Lepisosteus oculatus: one gene and its partners. The main gene of each other region encodes a partner of the protein of the gene in region 2 in a complex. Links are inferred from orthologs where the notes say so. Each region holds a gene or a part of one and is shown on either strand. Other genes may lie near its edges.

Evidence for each region.
Region 1: the proteins of erbb2 (region 2) and ptpn18 are in contact, whole or in part, in a crystal structure (PDB 4NND), measured with the Homo sapiens proteins. The link is inferred for Lepisosteus oculatus from reciprocal best matches to the Homo sapiens genes ERBB2 and PTPN18. Residues at the interface, in NP_004439.2 of Homo sapiens: Leu1109, Gln1110, Arg1111, Tyr1112, Ser1113, Glu1114; in NP_055184.2 of Homo sapiens: Arg61, Tyr62, Lys63, Asp64, Val65, Arg138, Asp197, Arg198, Ser230, Ala231, Gly232, Cys233, Gly234, Arg235, Arg268, Ala273, Gln276.
Region 3: the proteins of erbb2 (region 2) and grb7 are in contact, whole or in part, in an NMR structure (PDB 2L4K), measured with the Homo sapiens proteins. The link is inferred for Lepisosteus oculatus from reciprocal best matches to the Homo sapiens genes ERBB2 and GRB7. Residues at the interface, in NP_004439.2 of Homo sapiens: Pro1135, Gln1136, Pro1137, Glu1138, Tyr1139, Val1140, Asn1141, Gln1142, Pro1143, Asp1144; in NP_001025173.1 of Homo sapiens: Ser437, Arg438, Glu439, Gln442, Arg458, Glu459, Ser460, Asn463, Gly466, Val468, Lys476, Lys478, His479, Tyr480, Leu481, Ile482, Tyr492, Phe493, Ser494, Met495.

What each region holds. Positions count from the first base shown.
Region 1 is NC_090697.1:77,038,811-77,046,184, reverse strand, and holds the start of ptpn18 (tyrosine-protein phosphatase non-receptor type 18), read right to left. Parts: upstream 3,001-7,374; 5' UTR 2,406-3,000; intron 2,258-2,405; 5' UTR 2,256-2,257; coding exon 2,160-2,255; intron 1-2,159. Other genes in the region: mon1ba (vacuolar fusion protein MON1 homolog B), read left to right, coding at 6,745-6,829. UniProt on the Homo sapiens protein: Differentially dephosphorylate autophosphorylated tyrosine kinases which are known to be overexpressed in tumor tissues.
Region 2 is NC_090723.1:5,670,329-5,678,186, forward strand, and holds the start of erbb2 (receptor tyrosine-protein kinase erbB-2), read right to left. Parts: upstream 3,078-7,858; 5' UTR 2,863-3,077; coding exon 2,784-2,862; intron 1-2,783. UniProt on the Homo sapiens protein: Protein tyrosine kinase that is part of several cell surface receptor complexes, but that apparently needs a coreceptor for ligand binding. Essential component of a neuregulin-receptor complex, although neuregulins do not interact with it alone.
Region 3 is NC_090723.1:3,853,925-3,861,560, forward strand, and holds the start of grb7 (growth factor receptor-bound protein 7), read left to right. Parts: upstream 1-4,627; 5' UTR 4,628-5,319; intron 5,320-6,551; exon of another isoform or gene 6,552-7,636. UniProt on the Homo sapiens protein: Adapter protein that interacts with the cytoplasmic domain of numerous receptor kinases and modulates down-stream signaling. Promotes activation of down-stream protein kinases, including STAT3, AKT1, MAPK1 and/or MAPK3. Promotes activation of HRAS.

The DNA of each region.
Region 1 (7,374 bases), on a different chromosome or scaffold from region 2:
GGGCCAGAACCCAGAGCAGAAGAGGCTTTGAGGTCTCCTGCAGGAGACTCTCATACCGAGAGTGATGAGTGGAAGACAGAAGATATTCAATCGCACTTTGAATTAAATACCCATTTTGCGTGCCCTGTTAACAGGCTGGTGCCATCTGGAGTCGAGGACTGAAGCTCCTCACTGGGAGTCCTCCTGCTCCGATTTAGCTGCATGACCCTGTAGAGCCCACAGGGCCACACGGCCTTGTCTCCGGGGGAAAGAAAAGACCAAATTCAGGCCCTCTGCTGTCCTTGCACTTGGTGGCACAGCAGAGACCACAATCACAGTTCACAGGACAGTGCAACACTTTTTTCTTGGGTCTATTTTAAGCTCATTGATAGGCTTACATGAGGGAAAACATCAAGCGAGACTGTAGTGACTTGTTATCTGAGTGCGCCCGGAGGTCGGACTACAACTCTGGCCCAGACGAGCGCTTCTGTGGGCTGACAGAAATGCACAGAGGCCCGAGACAGTGAGAGCCCAGGAGGCAACTGCACACGCTAAGCTTTCAGGAGACATTTAGAAGCATTGCTTACTCTGTTCGCTGGCACGGCGCTCTTGTCTTAACATGCTCTCAGCAGCCTTAGACTTGGGCTCTGCAGGTTAAGACTATGGCAGAAGGCGGCTGCATTTGAACCGGCCTGCCTGCCTTCACCTCTTCCCTACCACCTTCACCCACTCCAGCAGGTCGGCTCCACGGGGGTGTAAGTCATAAAAGACCACGACTCACTTCGCGATGAAGGAGTATTCAGCCTAGAAAGGCTGGGCAGCTCCAGGAGAGCTGGAGGGGTGCTGCTAGGCTCAGACCTGGCTGGCTGGGTCTTCTTCCTTGGTCCCAGGATGCCTCACACACTGCACCAGGAATTGCAATCCTGCACTTCGGCACAGCGGCACTGCGGGGTCTCCGGCACCGTGTGTGCAGGCATGCAGGCTGCTTGCACTAGCGGAGAGCAGGAATGCTGTGGATTTAACTCACTCGGACTCTGCCGGTGCTACGCGTGGATCTACAACAAACAGGAATCCTGTCAGGAGCTTGACTGTCTGCTGGCTCGATCTGTCATGTTTCCTGAGGCGGCGTGGAGCTGCATTGACTCCAAGGGTACAGTGTATTGGAGTGCCACTGCAAAAGGGTCTCGAATGGCCTTCCCCTGGGCACTACCCCTTCCTGCACAAGACAGAGGAACTGGACTCCAGCCCCTGCCTCCTCAAACACTTTCACAAGCGTAAAGATAATCAGAACAGAATTAAACAGACTCAAGACTTCTGCTATCGGGATCCTGAGCATCGCCGGTTTTGTCTCATAACAAAACCAGAAGGCCAGTCTGACAATAAACTGAAAGTGCTGGAGCTCCAGGCGTTCAAACACAAATGCAACAGAAGCAGAACAGCTCAAGTCAGGAGACTGCAAGGCCCTGCGCCTCTCAGCTGTGGCTCAATCAACCACACACCGGGGAGCACTAGAGCAGACACCTCAGAGCTCAGCAAGCGTCCAACCACTGACCTGAACGGTGCTTTCAAGTAGAAAACAGGACGGTCAAAAGGCCTTTCTGGACGAATAACACCATTACAAGACAAGGAGAACCGCAGAATTTGAATGAGCAATAAATCTTCACCAAGTGAATGGTGCTCAGGCCCACGGTCCTGCCCTGTTGGACACCTGTAGAGGAACCCCGGGCTTCTCTCCATCTTGTCAAATAAGTCCTGCCTTCCAGCTTCTTTGAGCGTACAGCTAAGTCTTACACAACTCACTTCGCTTCGCCCCGGTAATTCAGAAGGGAAACCGCTCTGAGCAAACCGTTGCCATATCAACATTTTACAAAGAGCGTTTCAGATTGCCAGCACTACAAACACTGTTATTGTCAGGCAAAGTCTGATAATTATCTTTGCAAAATGATACCGAGTGATGTAGCTCTCGGAGTACGTACTATTATTGGTGCACATACGTCGAGCTACAACGGAGCCTGTTAAAAACTTTCTGAAGTGCTACTTCATACAGCTACGCTTTTATCTCAAATCGCTACAAAATAAAAGTTCGCTGTTAACGTCGTGTAAATAACCGGACCGCCTCGCGGCTCTTCTGGCAGCCCCGCGGCCGCCGGTACCGGAGAGAACAGGGCGCGCGCACTCACGCTGTACTCCGCCGCCAGTCGGTCCTCGGCGCCGCAGCCGGACGCCTGCTGGGCCCTCGTCTTCTCCACGAACGCCGCCAGGTGCCGGTGGTCCATGGCTGTCGCGGAGTCAAAAAACAAAACAGCGAGAAATAAGGAAACCCCGACGCTCTCTAGACGCAGACGAGTCGACACTGAAGCAGCCTCATGGTCAGCAGGGCTGTGAAGAGCTCCTGCGCTGTGCGCGCCTGAGCCGGACCTCCTCACCTCAAAGAGACAAAGTGCTCTCCTCCAGCTCGCTGGAGCCCACTGCGCGTCAAGACTGCTCTCCGTGCAGCCCGGGGCTCAGCAGTTTCTTCCTCTTGTCGGAGCGTGCGAGAGTGAAGGTGCTCTCGGTCACATCTGGACAAGGAAGTGTTTTTTCAATCACTGGAAACGCGCCAGAGCTGTCGGACTGCCGGCGGCGCGGCAGCCTGCTCCCGCGAGCGGGGCGCCGAGCCGGCCGGTGTCCGGCGCGCTGACCCTCCGCTGGACAGCGCGTTTTCCCCGCAGCAGGGCAGCGAGCGGCGCCGCCCGGAACAGCGAGCCGGAGCTGAGAGACGAGGTCTCGGCTCAAGCAACTGTATTCGCCTTCGACAAAATAAACCGAGGCTGAAAGAACTGCGCGTTCTAACCTGTAAAATCACCACCCTCCGTCACACTGACCGGCTGGAGCCCTGCTCAGCGCTAGGGAGTCAAACCCCTGAAGGCTCTTTAACCCCACCAGCGCTCTCTATTTCTACACACAGAAAAAAATCATCTTTGCACGATTCAAGAAATATTGTATGGCGATATTTTATGCGCGTCAGAAATGGTCGTGCAGCGCCGTTATCCGTCAGCATCAGTGCGCAAGGCCAGATCAGCACAGGGGTTTTAAGACGTGTGGTGTACGTGCAACAAGCACTTTGTGCCTCTGGTGGACTTGGGTGCCATTCTGTAGGCTACAGTCCCTGAGTCTGAGACGCTAACTTCGGTCTCCGGGAAGCGCGCTCAGCCCGAAGGGGCAGTGTCTCTGGTCCAGACCGCAGTGCCTGGTACTGGACTGGAGGCCTGTTGGCATAGTATGCAATTGCACCCATAGAGGAGGACATTCATGGGTAATTTTTAAAATGCTTTTAATATTTGTCAACAATAATCTTTTGTCCAGCCGCTCTCACAGAGTTACAGTCTAGACGAGTCCGATTTTTATAGTAGTGTATTAGGATCAACAGTGCCCCTGTGTGGCCGCCTGTGTGGTCTCAGAAACCTGTTTCCAACGAGCAGGAAGAGATATTCGGCTCCTTACCGAGGTAAAAAGAAGGAAAAAGCTGACAAAGGTTAAATAAGCAGAGGGCATTGAGTGGTGTGTATGCAGCTGATGGACCCGATGATCTTTAATACAGCTGTTTCCTGAACAATCTCAGGTTATCGGAAACAGTGACGACAAGAATATACTGTATTTCAGGTGTACATCATGAGAAGAATAAAGACAGCCCGTGTAACTCAGGACATTCTTGATAGTTGCACTTGCTGAATGCGGGGATAACTGTCCTCTTTCTGACAGGAATGACGTCAGAGGACCAGACCAGCCCTGCTGTAATGTATGGAATCTGAGTGGTTAATTAAAGACAGCGTGCGATCCGTTTGAAAGCATTTTCTTAATAATAGATGAACCAGTGATACATCCATGAATATTTACTATTATTGCAGCTGGTGTTCTGGAAGTCGAGAGTTTCTTAATTTCGCACCACCGCAGTCCCCTGGCTACCTGTGCCAGCAGACAGCACTCCTCCACCTGTCCCGCGACTAGCAATCACCCACAACGTGCTCAAAAGGGTCCAGACATGCTCCTCGCCCGCTCGCCCGAGCAAGACTTCAATGCAGACTCCACGTGGGCTCACGTTTGGGAATGACTGGTCTTGGCAAACAAGAGCCTCATCACATGCCCTACCCTGCAATCCCCTAGCCCGCACCTCCCAGGAAAACACTTCTCCACTCTGTGCTGCTTTAGGACTGGTCACTGGTCATGGTCCAAACTCTGCACCACATCCTAGAGCCGAGCCGAACCCTGTCCTGTCCTGTCCTGTCCACAGACTCAGTGGGGGACTACTCACCCTCCACACAGCTGGACCAGAAACTATCAATGGCCTGAGGAACTTTGCCTTTCGCTAAATAAATACGGTTGAACTCAAAGTAGGAGGCGTAAATGACCTGACGCGTGTCCTCTCTTTGTATATCAGAACAGGTAAGACATACTATTGACCAATTAAAGTGTTATTAATTCTGGGAATGCGCTGGAAAGACAGCGGATTTGTCCAAACTAGTGTCTGGTCGATGCACTATCCACGTGCTCAATTATCGTCTGTTTCAGTCAACAGTTTTAAATGAGGAATTTCCACATATGCATATATAGTGTATATATATAGTCCACATATATGAAATTCCACAATACAGTACATAGGTATCCCTTCATCCTACGCGCGCAGAATACAGGAAGTGAAGGCGGGGCCTATCTTGCCCAAACCTCGTGTCTATGGTCTTGTAACTGGAGGATTTTGGAAGGCCAGCGGGACATCCCGTCCAATCAGCACGCCCTCTCACCACTTCACCGCCCCCTGCCTGGAAGAACACGTCCGATTGGCTGGTGCGAGGTGTCACTTAGCCGGCGTCTCCGATTCCGGATGTACCTCTGCAGTTGTCTTTATTTATTTAGTTTTTCAGTTGGTGGGGTAGAGTTTGATTATTTAAATACTCCCCGTTTCTCTTTTCTTCATTAAGTTTTAGATAGTTATTACCGGTTACTTTTTAAAGTCTGTGATTTATTTATTTATGTTATTTATTTCGGAGTCGACAGCTCTTTCTTTAATAATTTGACGAGCCAGACGCAGGAGGCTGTGTTATGTGCAGCTATGGGCTTTAGGCCGGGTTGCAATGCTGTCTGCTGATGCATTTAAAAAAAATAATAAATCCAATTAAAGAACAAGCCTTCACTGTCCGGCGACGCCGCACACACTAAACCGACCGCAAACCAATTAAAAGACTTGAATGTCCTCCTTGGGGAACAGACCTTCTGACAGGATCGGAAAGCCGAAAACAATCTCGTTTTTCCTCGGTAAGTGCTGTGGGTGAACCTGTGTTTACAGCCGTGTTTACAATCGCCTGTATTACCAAGACAGACTCCTTCCCGGGTGTTGATCACCGCAACGGGCTGGCCGAGCCGAGGCAACCAGCAATAACACCGCAGACCTGAGGAGCGGCGGAAAGTCTCGGCATTCCGAAATTGTGCGGTTATTTATACGTGCCGTCTACAGCTGTGCTATATTGGAAGGTGATGTAGAGTAACGATTGTGTTTTGATCAGCGGGGGGTGGGGGGATCAGACGGGGTTTTCTTTCGCGTTCTCCCAGGCGTTTTTAAAGACTCCAGTCCGTGACGTTGTTGTTCGCCCGTTCCTGTCCTTCGCTCTGTAAGCCCTCCGTTTAAGTTGGTGGAGCAAACCAGTTCCCTGGCAGGCGTTTGGGGACGTCTCCCAGCGACCAGGAGCAGCTGGGAAGCTGTGGACGGGAACCGCCAGGTGACTTTCCTTGGAAAAACAACCTGGAATCGATGACGGCCCTTCAGCAGGCAGGGCTGCTCTCCGTGGCGTTAGCAGGACGAGCCGTGTTGGGGAGTCCGTGTAAGACCGGTGGTCACTGACCTGGCTGCGTTTTTGTCGTCAGAGACCCTGCAAGGCAGCAGGTGTGATTCATCTGTTTTATCTGACAGTGGTCTGAGTTTCCGCGATCTCAAGAGCCCGGAACAGCTTTGTGAAAAATAATGGGTTGAAAACACCTATTTCTCATTTTCATTAACGTCACAGCAAACGTTTCTCACGTGCTTGAACAACGAGGCAGACGCCCGTATCCAGAGCGCCACAAATCAAGCGTTTTCAGAAGCACGGTGATGAGCATTAGAGGCGACAGTTTATTCTGAGACACAGCTGGTTACAGGTCTGTTAAAGAACAGCGCAGTGGCCACATGTCTGCTGTCTCCCAAAACCTAAAAATATCTGCATCTTTGCTGGAACTGACGTATTTAGTGTTTTTTTTTAAAGATCTCGACAGAAAGCCCTTTGTGTTTTGAGGTCGCTCCGGGTAATCTGCATGGTTATTAGGCCTGGTTTGAGTCATTCAAACTAAGGCTTTCAGATGTGACTAGCCAGGCACGTCACATGACAGACGCATGATCACTAATTGCGTTTCTGGTCCGCGGTGGTGTTGCTGGTCTCGTCCAGAGCTCGGACCACACGGTCACAGACCCGACCTGCCAGCGGCCAGGGGTTTAAAGAAGGACGGGATCATCCCTGACGCAGGTGGACCTCCAATCAGCTCTGCAATCCTGAGTTTGATCAGCAGAGCTTGGAGCCTGGCAGCGTTTCAGCCGTGCCCTGCAGAATGACTGACCCTGTTACAGCCGTTGGACAGACGCTTGGCTGTGTGGTTTTATGTCTTGGCTTGGGTTGTGTGTCCTGCTGATGAAGTGGACTCCCTGTTCCTTACGAGCCAGCCTGTCTTTCTCTGCCCCCCGTGCAGGGCGTCTGGGATGGTGAGATGGAGAAGGAGCAGCGAGAGACTGAGGAGGCTGAGGAGGGGAGGTCCGGCACGCTGCCCCCTGCCCCCAGCCCGTCTCTAACAGGTACGCCGGCCCAGTTCCCGCGGGACTGTCCCGGACGTGGGACAGGATTTCCAGCTCTCTGTGCCTCCGCGAAATAAAAGGGAAAGTGAGGACTGTGCGAGAGACCGTCAGTCACCAATAGAGCTCTGTTGTACTGGTGTGTAGGATTTGTCTGCGGGGAGGTGATTTGCTCCGATGGTTCCCACACGTCCAGGGACACTGTAGTCGTCTCTCGGCTGGAAAATGAGAAACAGTCGAAGTTGCCCTCGGAGAGCGACAGGCGTGGGTGATGGAGTGACAGCGGACAGTTGCTAACGGGGTGCTGACGCAGCAGATTAAAGTGGTTCATGTTCTTCCACTGGTCTAATAGTGTGTGATGTGGCACCTCAGAAAGCACCAGAGGTGGAATTAGGATCTCCTGCTGGGGAGGGGATTAGGAGGTTAGGCCAGAGCAGCACTGAGGACCGGGGCTGCACAGTGTAGAGAGCAGGGATCCCCAGTCCTGCTCCCGCAGGGCTGCAGATCACCATGGATCAGCTCATTATTGACTTTGCTGGATCAGAGTA
Region 2 (7,858 bases):
TGTGCTCAAATGGCTTTGTTCTAGTCAAAGAGCCCTAATCCTACAGGGTGCGTATTTATTATCAAGACAAAAACGGCCCACCAGGAAACAATGCTCTGCAAAATAAAGACAGCGCATGAAGGAAAACAAGGAAACAAGGAAGCTTAAGCAATGGTATTTCAGTTCCTTTAGAGGCAGCACTACGCATAAATAACAATAGGTTACCTATTGCTGGACAGGAGACGGTTAACATGTCCCTTTTTACTGGCGTTACACTGTAACCAAACTGCCAAGGATAAGTCACTCAAAAAGGTGGCTGGTGGCGTAAATGTGCAAATGTTGTGACAAACTGTGTCTGCCAATGAGAATCCACAAGAGCTAGGGCAGTGCGCATCTTTACTGCAAGCCAAGCAAATCTGTTTTGATCCATTTGAGGATTTATTAGGTGAAGGATTTTGTAGAAAAAAATACCCATGACTGAAAACAACATCTATCATATTTTTATCTACAGCTCTGAGACCCACTTAACCATTATTAAAAGACAACCCTGGCAAATATCCAGCACCAGGTTTTTTGGCATGTACAGGACATAGAAGCCTACGTCTGGAAAGACCAGAAGAGTTTAAGCTGGAAAAACAGAGGGAAACCAATTCGTCTGGTACAATGCTGGACTGGCCAAATGCAGGCTAAAATCACAGTCCAGTTGGCAAAAGATATTGCCACATAAAAAAAGAGATTATAACCATCTTCTGTGCTGAAAAATGACCGCTTGCTAATTTTAAGAGGATGTCTTCTTCCATGAAGCTGAGGGTCAGTCTTCTTAGCTTCAGAGGAGAAGCTGGAAAGGGCTGCTGAAAACATCCTCAGCATCCAGAAGGAGCTCTGAAAAATGCTTAGGGGAAGACAATCGCCCTTGCGCAGTGCTGAGAAGCCCATCTGGAATCATTATGCCCAGAATCCGTTTAGATACTTCCCTGCTTTCCTTCAGGCATTGGGAACGACAGCGGGAATCTTTGCATCCCATAACTAACCCGTCGGAATCCTGCCGACAGACTCTCAGGCTCTAAAACCTATTTTTAAAGATTGTGGGAAAAAGGGTTTGGGTTTGCGGAACTTGAAATTACTCTATCCACAGGAACAAGTTGGCTGTTGCAAAAACGGAAAAATAGAAAAAAAATGATTCGGCTGTTTAGAAAAAAAAAACAACTGGCAACTGGAAGTGCCAATGGGACTGCATCTCCATGGAGGAGAGACTCTGGGAAAAACCAGTGGGAAGTGTGCGACCCAGAACTGGGCACGAGATTTCAAAACTACAGCGTTTCCAACAGCCAGGGTGTTAAAAAGGCTCACGCAGTGCCTGAGCTCAGGGTGGCAGAACAGGCCTCCACAGGGAAAGATGGTGGAAACCGTCTCTACAAAGGAAAGGTTTCAAAACACTCAACTCCATGGAAAGACTTTTTGCCATAAAAGTAGGCTTAATATTTTGGGATGGAAAATAAAGCCGACACATATAGTGCCCGGTCAGTAAGAAAACAACTGCATTTCAACAACTGCATCCTTGGGCAAAGCTCTGGAACTCTTTGCCCAAGGATATTAGAGAGTCACCTTCTCTAAACTCCTTCAAATCCTTCTTCTTCAGAAAAGCCTTTACTTAACTGGTTCCATTCTTCACCCCTCTGCTCTTCTTAGTACCACCTTCCACGGTCTCCTCTATTGTTATTGTTGTATTGTTGTAATTATAATTGTGTCCTATCTTGTGAAATCTTCTTAATTATTGTTGTAGTCTTCTTATTTATTGTTATTGTCATCCTGTAAAGCGCTTTGAGAAGCCACCTTTAAAGGCGCTATATAAAATAAAGTTTATTATTATTATTTCACGGATAACAGGAAATGCCACCTTACAGACTCACTTGAAGAATATGACACACATCACCACCGCCTTGTGCACAACCTGGAACCAGATATCAGCAGCGAATAAGTTTGTTTTGACTGTGCCCAAGCACAACAAGAGTGCTGCATCGCTGGAGAGGGTTGTAGAGGGGAGATGTGGAGTGTTTCAGTTCAAATTCCGTAGCCAATAGCCTATTTGACTACAAAGTTTGCTCAACGTCTGTATTTCGAAATAGGCTTATACAATTGTTTCTGAAATCGATACTTCACACAAATCTGAAGCCCGGCTAGTTTATTATTAGCTTATATGTCAATACACAACTTGGCGTTTCTCTGCGGCATCTCCGCCGCAGTTCGGGGCTGTAATTATTAGGTGTCAGGACTGGTTTCCAAGATTATACTGGCGACGGGATACGGGTTTGTTTACTACAGAAAGGTATTCTTCTTCGCTATTAGGATTATTCTGTTTCCACTCGAGTGTCGTCATTCAGAGTCGCAAAGCAGGTTCTCAGGCAGCCGTGAGTATTTTCTAACACTCCCCTTCCCGACACAAACACACCTCCTTTAAGTATTTGGCTTCGAGTTATAGTGTTTACATATTTCGAGAAAGCGGAGTTTTAAACAGCACCCAAGCCGTCCTGAAATCGCGCCTGAAATCGCACTGACACATCCAGGGAAGTCCCCACGAATTGGACCGAATGTGGGAGAGAGCGGCGCGGCGCGACGCGGCTGGGGGTTGGAAAGTTATTTTCGAGTCGCGCAAGAAAAGTTTCACGCTCGGGAAAACGTGAATCGAGGGGACACAAAGTCTCCCCCGAGAGTTTTTTTTCCCCCCGCGTTTCCTGCCCTCTCTCCCTCCCCTCTCTCGTCTCTCGTGGCCCTGAAGAGAAATGAAAGTTTCAAAGTCAACCCACCTTCCCTGCCCCGTGTGCCCGCAGTCACGACCAGCGCAGCTCCGAGCAACACCAGCAAACTTCTCCACGGCGTTTCCATCGCCTTCGGCTTCTACTCCATAGCGAGCACCGGGCGCCTCGGTTTTAGTCGAAACTTAAGAACGGGCAGTCTCCAAGAACCTCTTCTCCTTCCTTGTCGATTTCAAAAACAATATCCCAGCACTTCCCCACTCCTACTCCCTGTCTCACTCGCTGTATCCCTTCCTTGTGGCTGGTAGGCGAGGGTGACGCGCAGCGCGCTCCCGGGGCCCGTGCTGGGAGTGGCAGAGCTGAAACTGAGCCGAGAGACCGACCCGCCTCACACTTCACTCAGCTTGCTGCTGCTGGTGGTGGTGGTGCTGGTGCAGGCACCGTGTCCGCCTCTCTCTCCCTGTCCGGCTGTCTCTGACTGGGCAGAGGAACCCCAGCAAGGAAAAAAGACCCTTCCGAAAACGGGGACAGAGACTGGGCGAGCTGCTAATCGGGTGCTACAAATGTTCGGATTCCATGTTCAAATTCCCTAGTCTGTGCACGCCGCCCACGCAAAACAGTATCTGAAATTATCATTATTATTGATATGCAGACAAGCGCATTTGTTCTGCACTGGCGACTGAACTTACTTATATCGCTTATTTTTGAATTAATTCACCCAGCTATCATAACGACGTTCGTATCGCGTTAAATGTTTGATTTTGTTTTCCCGGCTTAGATAAATTAATAGGTGACTGTTCTGAATAGTCCTTGTTATTCTAGCGTTAATCAGGAAACAAAGCTCCCATTCTGTTTCTCCTGTCATGAAACTGCCCGCCGGTGTATGCCAACGAGCAAGGTGCAAACGGCTAACAACTTTCTAATCGTCGTACGTCTCAGCAAAATGTCTTGAACAAGTTAGACGGTGCAGTTCTTCTATTCTTGCAAAAATGATGGCAGCTTGCCCTATATCTTAGTCTTTGGACTGACATTTTTCACTCGCAGACCCAAGATTCTTTTTAATCGACATTAAAAATAATAAGTTAAAAACTCACACCCTGAATGGAATTCAGTTCAAACCCCTCCCATGTCAGACCTCGCGTTTCGTTTTACAGGCACCAGGAATTTCCATTTAAATGTCTTGCTTGCGTTACTTTTTTTTAATTAAAATTCAATTACACTGACAGCAGCTTGCGAGCAGCGGCAGTTTGTCATTCTTTGTATCATATTACACCCAGTGACACCCGTTGTCTCGTTCCGGCGGTTAGGCGGCTCTGAGATGTTGTACAGCTAATAATAAACCACATTGTCTGAGAGTTCATTATAAACCCGACTGGTGTCAGGGGTGACAACCCGAACACAGCTGACAAACTGGAATTTTTTCCGTTTTCAAAAGAGAGCGCTTTACGAAACAGTCGGGCTGCAGTTCTTCACCCCGGACTGTATAGAAATCTTAGTTTTGTCGCACTTCTGACTACAGTTATTGTGAATTTGGGGTATTGTATTCGCGCACTGTCGTGGGAGTATTGATTTCTAAACATCTCTTGCTCATTGGTGGTCTTTTCAGATGGGTTTAAGGAGAGGGATCACGGCCCGTCTGTGACAAATCTCTTACGTGGAAATATAGTTGTGGCCTGAGACGCGGATTAGGCTAAAGGTGAAAAAATGACTTCGCACTGCGAAAACTGACACCTGTCTAGGTAATGTCTGCCTGCACCTGTAATATACAGAAAATAAATCGTTAAGAGAATGAGAAAAAAAAAAAGATAATACCGGATACAGTATCTACCGAGATTTATCTGAGCTCCCCTAATCATTGTAATTAAATCAATTATCCACCTACTCGGCTTTGTCGTGACAATCAGGCTGCAATGTATTATTGTATGATTGTCCTAATAAGAAACCTTCTGATCAGGATGTTTTCAAACATTCTGGCATGGGAAATAAAATTCGGCTATCTGGAAAAAGACCTCCAATTTTTCTATACCAAAAAAAAATCAAACTGATGGCAATGATCGTTACTGTTAGCGAGGAGGTATAAAAACCGAGCTGGAGGCCGGAGCGCTTGGACAGAGCGTCGATTTCGCGCAGCGCTGGGCTTGGGGAGGAGACAAGTTGCTCATTTTCGGCGTTGCCCTGTGGCTGACATTCCCTTGACTTCCACTTTCTAGTCAGACTAAACAACTCAGCTGGCCAGCGCTCGGCACCTCCTCTTGAAGTTTTATTTGGGGGGGTTAGTGACGGTGAACTGCTCGAGCAGCTCGCGGGTGGGTGGGAGATGCCGGGCGACGGCGCCGGTCCGAGCTGTAACGGTAGCGGTCTCGGCACAGTTTTCTCAAAACACCATAACGCCTGGTCAAATATGTGTATATCTTTCTGTACAGATCCACGGTCATACTTCCCAAATGTTACACGTTAGTTACAGTGTTAAATGATGTTACAAATGTTACAGCACACCCCCGAATTCCATCGGAGTCTGTAATACTCAGCTACGAAGGGTCATTAAGATCCTTTTTTTTATAGCTATTGTTATTTTTACAAAAAGGTGATTACCTCAGTTAAAGAGAGCGTCGTAAAGGTATTGGTAGAATCATATTTGTTTGGTTTTTGACCATTTCCGGCGTGAACAAGACTTTTGTTGTAAAAAAAAATATTTTTTTTTGGGTGCTTCATGCACTTCAGTGTGTTTTAAGAAGACGTGTTTTTTTATATGTATTCTATTCCACTGAATTGGTTGAAATTCCTTTTGGTGTTGTAATATTTACTTATGTATGATTTAGAACACGAGAAGACAGGGAAAACATTAAAATACTCCAAAAGCTAAAGAAAGGATGCTTGTCTGTAGGGGTTTTCTTTTTACAAAGCACACCATTAATATATTTAGTTATTTGGCAGAACATGACACGTTGGCGATGAGGTGCTAGGGTTTGTTTTTAAACTCAGTGCACAAATAAATGGAGGGAGACAACACCTCACACGTCAGTCAGGTCTGTTTTCAGCCCCTGCTAAACTGTTGCAATTCAGTCCCCACCCCAAGAAAGTGACCACTGAGGACGCATTTTAAGTATTGTTGACTATGGGTGATAACTCATAAGGCAAACTGGGGAACCAAGTTCATTTTACTTTAAAAAGGCCCCTGAACAGTGTTGACCCACACCCCTGAATTGTACTGTCTGTAAGATACGAACAAGGCCAGTCATTGGTGGCCACCATATCGGCTACCCACCTCTCTTCACAGCAGAGAAAAGGACTGGGGTCAAGATGTGGACAATCTCTTTCCTCCTGGACCGGTATTGTGTGTGTATGCCCTCTCCGAGACCTTCGTGCCTCTCAACACTGTGCCCTGGTCATTCCTGATACTGCAGGACTACAACACACAAGTCCTCAACACCCACAACAAGTTTAAGAGAAAGACGAACTCCTGGAAGGTGCTGTGACTTTAAAAAAACACAACAAAAATGGCAGCTGAAGTAACAGAAGACTATTTATTTGGATTCTCATTCGTTTGCATTTTAAAGCTCCTTTTTTTTTGGATACAACACTGGATATATACAGGTTCATCATTCCCAAAGAGAAGAAAAAAATGACAATGTGCATACGTAGCAGAGAGGGGGCGCTGTGGAGCACAAAGTGTCTGGTGGCATGCCAACTGGTTAGGAAGGGCTCGGGTATTTATATATATATAGACCTGGGGACACCTGCAGGGACGCCCACTTGCTCTTTTAAGGTTTGTGGCCGTCAAAACGGAATGGAAGTTGACACGTTTTGTATGCAGGAAACAATCCTCTCCACTCCACCTTCCAAAGTGAGTCAGTCCGAATTTCTGCCATCCTGCCCCCCTGACTCAATCCTAAATCTCCCCCCTCTCTCTGTCCACCGTCTCACTCTCTCTCTGTATCTGAAAGCTGCTAGATTTATCCACATCATCTATCATCCTACTATCTTAGTGGAGACGTACTCTTGCACCGCAAACACAAGCATTCAGGATCCCGGACAGCAAGGGACAGACACACACACACATTCCCAGATCAATCACAGGGTTCCCAGGGATACAGCAGCCTACACACATACAATCACACAACTCAGACATATCACCTGCCCAGGACAAACTGGCAGTGTTCTGCATTTGTGAGCACACAGGTTAGTATGTAAAGAAAGGGTCATACTAGTTACCTTGTTCTGCACAATCGGTTGTATGAATTTAACGGACTTTAACTCTGTTAAAACAGTTTGCAATTACAAGGTATAATGTAGCTGCACCAAGTACAAAGTATAACTGCAAAGTCCTCAAAGTGAACTGCATCCTGCCCCCACCCCCAAAGAAATGAGAGAATACCTTTTTTTCTGTTAAAAAAGCAGACTTTGTACAGTTCACCACTAATTTTATCCTGCGAACACACTCCAACATAGACTTATATACCAATGCAGCCTCACTGCTCAACAATACACACTGAATTGCTCACAGTCTGCACAAAGATGTCTGTTTTCCCTGTCTCCCAGTTCAAAGCAGTTTATCTCAGTTGTCAAACACACACTGTCCACCCAAGGACACACACTTCCTCAAGGACACTGAAGCGCTGAACTGCACACTTACCCCAGCCAGCACACACTTGCACTGGAATTGTCTGTTGTAAAGCTTGAAAATGCATAAGAACTGAGAAGTTTGAAACTGTTTAAAAACGTTTTTTTATAAAGAGCTACCTGGAACAGACTTTCAAGTCGGGTGGCTGAGACCCAAACTCTGATGTCCTTGAAGAAACATCCAGACATATCTTTTGTATTCCATTTACTACCAAACTATCACATGACCAAAATGGTCCTTCTTTCATTTGAAAACGTCATGTTCTTATTTCCATCCTGACCCACACCTACTTCGGCAAAAAAAAAAAAGACCAGAACCAACGGAATTTACCAACCCACGCAGAACTGGACACTTTGGACTAAGCTTGGTAGAATTTCTTTTCCAGAGCCGCAAGACAGAACCACCGGCTCCTAGCTCGGACACAAGTGTGAGAACTGAAATCCCACGATGCATCTCACAGGTTTCCCACAATCCTTTGGGGCTTGATTTCCAGTCATGGTTTTCA
Region 3 (7,636 bases), about 1.8 Mb from region 2:
GTAGAGGGCTGGGCTAAAGAAAAAGGTTTGCTACTCTCCTTTCACATTTTCATTGTTCCAGTGATCCTATTTTTATCAAAGAATGGCCCTGTTTTTTAAGGTCTGGTGGCCATTGTTACGTAGTCTTGATTATTATCAATTCGGTATTTGACTCACACCATTGTTGTGGCACTGAAAGAATCCTCAGTTTGCTGCATCATTAGGTTCTGTAGCCCCATGTGTTACACAAGATATCTTTTAAACTTTTTGAGTTGAGCTACTTCAACTTATTGATTGTTGAAATGCTGAAAGCCACGTCACAGATAAAGCTCTAATAACTTAGTTTTAAATTATGCACGGAAAACCAAAAAAAAGTGACCTGTTACTGAGTAATTTGTATGGGGCAGTGATTATGAAACATAAGGAGATGTTAATATCTAGCACAGCCTTGAGCTGTGAAATGAAACTAGGCTCACCTACAGGTTTACGAGTTGTTGTACAGATTCTCAGGTGTGCAAGGAAACCATGTCTCTCTCGAAGCAAGAAGAGTATGCTATAGTTGCCTCATCTCCCTTCGAGCAGGTTGTCTGTTAAGTGATCTGGGCATTAGTAAAGTTAAACGAATAGCTCAGTCATTACTCTGAATTCACAAAACCACACATGTGGGATCTTGTTCAATGGTTTGAATATGATACAAATAATCCTAATAAAAAATAGACCACCTGTTAAGCTCTTTGTTTTTTACAAATCACTGTATAGTCTTTAAAAATTAGAAGGAAAATGGGTTTCCTATACAAGTGCAAAAAGGTCCTATTAGAGCATATAAAGAAATGGAATCCAATTCATTTACTCCCCATTCCTGTCCAGTGTGCTGAAATATGAGACTCATAAAGTCCATTTTCTGCTTACTAAAAGGCATGTCTAAAGAATTTTTGTATCTTCAACCTTGGATGCTCTAAGAGGGACACTTATTGGTGTAAACGGCTAGACAGTTGTATTTCATTGACAAAAAAACACCAAACCTGTATATAAATAACACAACTCAAGAATCCTCTTCTTCCTGGCCATTTACTACTTTAGATTTAATTTGTCAACTATAATGTAGCCATAGTGAAAGAAAAACAGTGATATTTTTTATCTGTAAATCATTATAAATATATAAACATTTAACTAGGCAGATTAATTTACCCTTTTTCGAATGTGAAGCTTTAAGTTTAAAAAAAATCTGTAAACATTGACATGCAAAAACAAAGATCTACATATGTATTTTTTTTCTTGAACTTTCCCTTTGGTTTTTAGTTTTGTTTTTTTTTAACCATCTTGTAACTCATCTGAGAAATGCACTATAATAAAGAGATCTCTATTACAATCAGTTGTATCATTCAAGTCATTTAGCTTTGTATTTCTTGCTAGCGAGCTAGCAGTTTCACAGGGAGCCAGTCTGGATCCTGTAGGATGGGGCTTTCATGTGGGAGGTGTGGTGGCACTGGTCAGCATCGGTGCCTTGAAGCCCTGGGTTCAGTTCCAGACCTGGGGAGCCGTCTGTGCGGAATTTGTTCTCTCCGTGTGCGTGTGTTTCCTCACAGTCCAGAGCTCTGACATGAGTGTGTGCGTGTGCCCTGTGGTGGGTTGGTGTGCCATCCTGCTGCTTGCCGGGATAGGCTCTGGCACCACCAAACCCCACAGCCCTGAATCGGAAGAAGTGGGAGAAGATGGATATTTGGGAATTATATGTGAATGCAGATTAATTTGAGTGATCACATGGGTCACAAATTTCTGGATATAGTGAAGCCTTAAGTAGTTTTCTAAGTGCCCCGCCCCCCCCACAACAAAGTTTTGTCCCTTATTTCATCCAAGAAATGCTTCGATACTGAGAGGCTGACACGAGAGTCTGAATGCAACAATGCTGTGCAGATACAAAAAAAAAACCACTCCAGTGATGCTCATAACGTGTGTCAAGGGGATTTCTTTAGAAACCCGTAAAAAAAGATGCAGTTTTAATTAACGCAAGGACGACGGGGGCGTACCCTGTTTGAATGAAGACCAGCCGGTTTCTACAGGCATCGTTGAAGGCAACCTGTAAGAAACACATCAGGATCTGGAAGACCGGTTTACAGCACCGCGCCAGGGCCGTCACCTCAATGCCTGACCACACAGGACCGCACTGTCGGGAGATCTGGAGTCTGCACTGAGACCGCACCTGTGCAGGAAGAGCAGCAGTGTCAGCCTACAGGCTGGTCAGGTATATCGGCTGCCAGGACGGTGTTCATTAATTCTGTAACGTCTTCATGGGGATAGCGTGACGTGTTAGATTGAAAACCCGTAACTTAAAAAAATAATAATTCTGGTCGTATTTCCTGTGATTTTGTTCGATATCTAAATTATTTTATTTCTGTTTCTTAAATCCATTAGTCCAGAATTGACTTTATTTTGTGCGTTTATAGAATTAAAAAAAAAACTATCTCGGAAATTCAGCTAATACTATCGACCTTGGCGTTTTGTCAGATCCCTGAATGATGCCCCCCGTTGTTAAGAGCACAGCCCCCGGGACGTGTCTGTAGCTTTGTCTCCCTCTACTGGAATTTCTTTGATCGGTATTTCACCAGGTCAAGGTTTGAGCTTTGAGGTTTGGTCAAATTGATCTATCAAGCGCGTCTGCCTGGTGTAACTCGCGCTTCGTGTCGCGAGTTCAGCGTCGCCTCCTGCTCTAGAACCTGAATTACACGAGCGATTCGGTCTCTGTTGACCGAGACATTTAAAAAAATATATATATTTGTCGTTTCTCGCTCGCTAATATAAAAAAAACGCTAGGCAGCGATGCTGTCGGCTGTCTAATAAACGGATCATGGACATTTCAGGAAAATCGAGAGATTTCGACAGCAATCGACAGTCTTTGTGACTGCATAATCATATAAGATAAGACATTAACAGAGCCTTTGATGTTACTGACAAAGTCTTCAAACGGCGGAACTCGAGTGCAGTAGCGCGCAGTGAAAACCTGCCACACCTGAGGAGACCTGTGGGCTCCTCTGGGGCCCATCGTGACCCTGACACGCATCGTCTTTTTAAACGTAGACATTTGATCACTGATTTTAATGTCACTGGCTGTTTACTCAGAATCCCACTACATTTTAAAGTGCACTGCTTTCAGTTTACAATTTGGAACTTAAGTAGCCCTGGATAAAAAAACAACAACAACAGTATTCATATTACAGGCTCTCACTGGACGAAAATTACGGGATGTCCTGTCTGCTCTCCTGTTGCCGACTGCAGTTTTGGGAGCTGTTAATCAGCCTCATCTAGAGACAGTGATCAGTCCTTGTGGATACCAGTGTAGGACAACGTTTTCCTGCGTTACCGAGCACGTAAAAAAACTGGTTCCGGAAGCGTTCCTGCATCGACAGAATGCCTTTAGGAGTATTCCTTCTACACTCAATAACCAGAAAGTCATGTAGACCTTCATTCATGGAGTTACCGAGTGCATGTTATGCTCTAAGAATGATCAATGACGAGATCGCTGTGGTTTGTGAGACAGCAATCTCTTCTGCACCGTGTCGTGAGACTATTTTCCTTTACAATAAATCGTTGGCTTCCAAATTAAAACGATGACACTACCTTATTGAAAGGAGTTATTTAATATATATATTTTAAAAGGCTTCAGCTGCGGAATCGTGCATTAAATAAATCTTGCTGTCTCCTGACTCGGGGAGTTCGCGGTTTGCGGGACAGACAATTTCCTCTGCAGGAGTGCAGTTCGTCTGTTTTCATCCCGGGCGCAGTTAAACGTTCACGTTGTAATACGAATCACAATCGCGTCCTGACCCGAGAGTACCTGCCGCACACCTCATGTTACTGAGATACCGTCTGCAGCTGACGGGTAAATCACAGTAAAATGGGAGCTCTTAATTAGAAGAGTTAGTGCGCCACAGGGACGCGCTGTCTTTTCTTTTTTTTTTAAGAAAAGCGACTCCCAGGGTTGAGAATTGACTAGAAAAAACCGTCTTGGTCAAACTTCCGGAGTGGAGTGGAAGTGTGCCCATGAACCCGCACGGATGATAGCACCCTCCCCACATCACGACCCGCTTACGGGCGGCCGCCGGGGCCGGGACGGGGTCCGGTGCCGAGAGCGCGCACCCCCACCTGTCCTCGCGGGGGGGGGGCGCGCGCGCGCAGTGGCCCAGCTCACCTTGCAGGTGAGCTCAAATCCGGGGCTCCTCCCGCCAGGGCCGGAGCGCCCTTGAGCGGTGACGACAGCGGGAGAGGCCGTGTGAGCGACAGGCGGTTGTTGAGTGAGGAACAGGATCTCCCGGTTGTAGGTAATTATTATTTCCACCGTCTGCTCCGGCAGCCTTTCTCACGTTTTTCCACGGGGTAAGTTCAAGTTCTTGAAAGCGGAGGGAACAAACGTGCGTCATGTATGTTGTTTCTCGGTTCTGTTTTCTAGGACGTTACGGGAGTTCGTCAGCTGCTGCTAGGCTGTGTTTGAGCTTTAAATGGGACAGTAAGATGCTGTTAGCTGACGAGAGAGCGTATCTCCTTTCTTCCTTGTAGGAGACAATGAGAACTTGAGATGGCGTACTATCCTATCCGTTTTTTTTACTCGCGTCTTGGCTTCAAATTAGCTGTTTTCTTCTCGTTTCTGTGTCATTTTGACTGCGGGCTTCTGTGGTGATCTGCTGTCTTTTAAATCCTTGGTTACAATGACTCAGGGCTGCACCGACCGGTCAAGTGTTAGATTCGAAGTGCTCCACACAGGGATAAACTCGTATTTTAATCCTTAGAGTTGTGGACGTTTTTTTTCTCTCTCCTTTAATCTGTGTTTTTGGAGCCTTCATGCTGTTTCCTTAGCGGTAGCTTGTCGATGTACGGAGAAGAGATGCACGCTGTGAAAGCATGCCTCTACAGATTCAAACTCTTGATGCAAAAAAAAAATCCTTGATCAGAGTAGAACAGACAAGTTTAGGTAGGGGTGTACCTCTTTGTCAAAGTTTAATTGCAGTGTTTTAAAGTGATTTGAGAGGCCCGTCTATTGGAAAAGTTAAATAAAAATTCCAACTGTTTGATGGCTTTTGAATTTGAAATCCACTTAAAGCTATAAAAAGGTGGAAACCAATCCAGAAGGAGGTTTTTTACCCGGTTGCTTGCATGTTCGTGTGCCTGAAGAGACGAGCTTGTGGAACCTACCAGAAGTGAGCTGTTCTGAAAGCAGAAAGGGACAGAAAGATTAAGAACAGGCCATCCGTGAGCAGCGAGTGGGAGAACTCTGGGGAGGAAGCACGCAGAAGTGATTAGATGCCAGCCGTTGGTGGCTGCGCACTTGAAGCGATTAAGGGCGTAAAGGTAAGAGGCAAAGCGAAACGTTGTGAAGCAGAGAACAGATGTCTTCTGCTGAAAGCATGGTGGGGTTCCTGAGCAAGCTGCCCATCCTTCTTGCTCGAGGGAACACCCTGGCCTGCTCGGAGAAGCAGATGGATGAAATCACGGTGTCACTCTCCTGCTCGCAGCTGTCCTTGCTGGATGGGCAGAAGGGCCTCATCGCTGTAACGTTTCTTTTCTTCCTGCAAGAGGAAGGCCGCTCCGTAACGCACGGTGAGCGGGCCGTCTTCACGCGGTTGTGCTTGCAGGCGCCTAAGGGAACGTCGAATGTTAAAACGTCCTGCATAAACGGGACATTGCTTCAAGTGCTGCCTTCACCTGCCCCCAGAGGGGTCCCCGTTCAGTCCTGCCTTGAGCAGCGAGGTTGTGCCCTTTGTGTTCGGCGCTGCTTTCGAGGTGCAGGCTGAGGGGGGGGCGAGCTTTCATCCCGGTCCGTGGCGCGCGCCGAAGCTGTCGACACAGGTGTGTGTTTTTGATCCCCAAGGAAGGCACGTGCCGGAGTGCCAAGATGAAGGCCCAGAGCTCGCAGCTGTCCAAGGAACGGATGCTTCCCGAGTCCTTGGCCTTGAAAATGTGCTCTTCTTTCAGGTTTCTTCAAAGGAAACTTTGAACTTTAACTGTCCTGAAGCACAAGTGCAGTTTACGTTGTTTTTTTTTTTTTTTAAACGAAGACACCGTGCATAAGTCTTGGGATTTTGTCTGCTCCCACGAAATAGGTCAGAGGCCCAGTCTGATTTCTTCAGGTTCCTGTGCTGTGGAAGGTGTCTTCAGTTAGTGTACAGCTGATTTCTCATCTGGTCAATGGTTGTCTGATCTCCCAGCTCTCTGTCTAGCTCCTCTCGCATTGCGTGAGTGACATGGGGGGCAGTCGATGTGTCAGTGGGCCGAGGCGCTAGGCCAGCCAGCCGGGCTGCTCTCTCTCTCGCTCGCCCGACTCTTCCTGCTGCTGCATGCTGCATGCTCGTCCATTTTCTGAACGTTGTGCTCTCCATCCTCATTCTGCAGCCCACTTGCATCTGAAAACGAGTGCGTACAGCTGCACATTGTAAATCTGTATTCAAATCCATACTTTTTAGATCTGACTGTTCTCATCATTGTGCTTTAAAACCAGATCAGGAGAAACTATGTTACACAAATTGTTGTGTGAGTTGGGAATGAACTACCCAGACGTGTTGATACTGATACTCTGGCTTCTTTTAAGAGCCAATTGGTAGAGTGCCTCAGATCAGCTATTCGCAGCCATATGATTTTGATAGGGAAGATGGACCCCTCTCATTTGTAACCTAACTTATGTTCTTACAGAGGGCCGTAACAGGTTGACCACTTTGAGTGGAATCTGGCAAGGACATTTCTGGACCTTCTAAGGACAGGATAACCAGAAGACATGAGAATCTCTTCACCCCAAGTCTGAAAATTGTTAATATTCTCTGACTATATTAGAAGTGGATCTGTTAGTCTGAATCTTTGAATATAAGATAAGATCACTTTATTGGCCATATACAATTTATTGAAGTAGGAATTGGTCTTTTTTTGCCCCAACTTGCTCTCCATGAGACACACAGACAAAGAGAAGCTTGGGGTCAGAGTGCAGGGTCAGCCGTTTATACGGCGCCCCTGGAGCAGTTGGGCCCCTGAGCAAGGCCCTTAACCCCAACGGAGTAGGATTCCTCTGCTGGTTGCAGGGTTCGTACCGGCAACCTTCCAGCCACAGGTGCAGATCCTTAGCCCCAGAACATACAGTAGCATTATTTGCAGATAAACCTGAAACCAAATTTGGGGTACATGTTGAGAGGGGTTTCTTGAGAAGGGGTCCCCCAGCCAGGAAATGTTGCCCACCCCTGTCCTTGAGGTTGTGTGGAGGGAGTGTTTTCTGCATGAGGCAGGCTGGGAGTTTCAGCGAGGCGTGCTGATAGTGAGTCAGTGGCCAGGGGTGAGTGAGAGTGCATTGTCTTAGTCTAAGCCATGTTTCATGTCCACACAAAGAGCAGGTTGTACAGCAACAGCTGCTGTCGATTCCACACAACTGAGCTCATCGCACGTACTGATGACGGCAAACAGAAATGACTAAAAAAACACCTCTGCTGTTGCAAAACTATTATTTCCCTTAAGTCAACCTTGCACCTGAAGTGTAAATACAATATTAAATTACTGATGCCAGTAATTACCAGTAAATTATTCTTACTCACTTCAGTGACTGGAAAGAATGCTCTTTGTCACAGTAATTATTAAGTTTCAGTTACTGAACAAATAAAGTTAAGCAGTCTTAAAACAAAAAAACAAG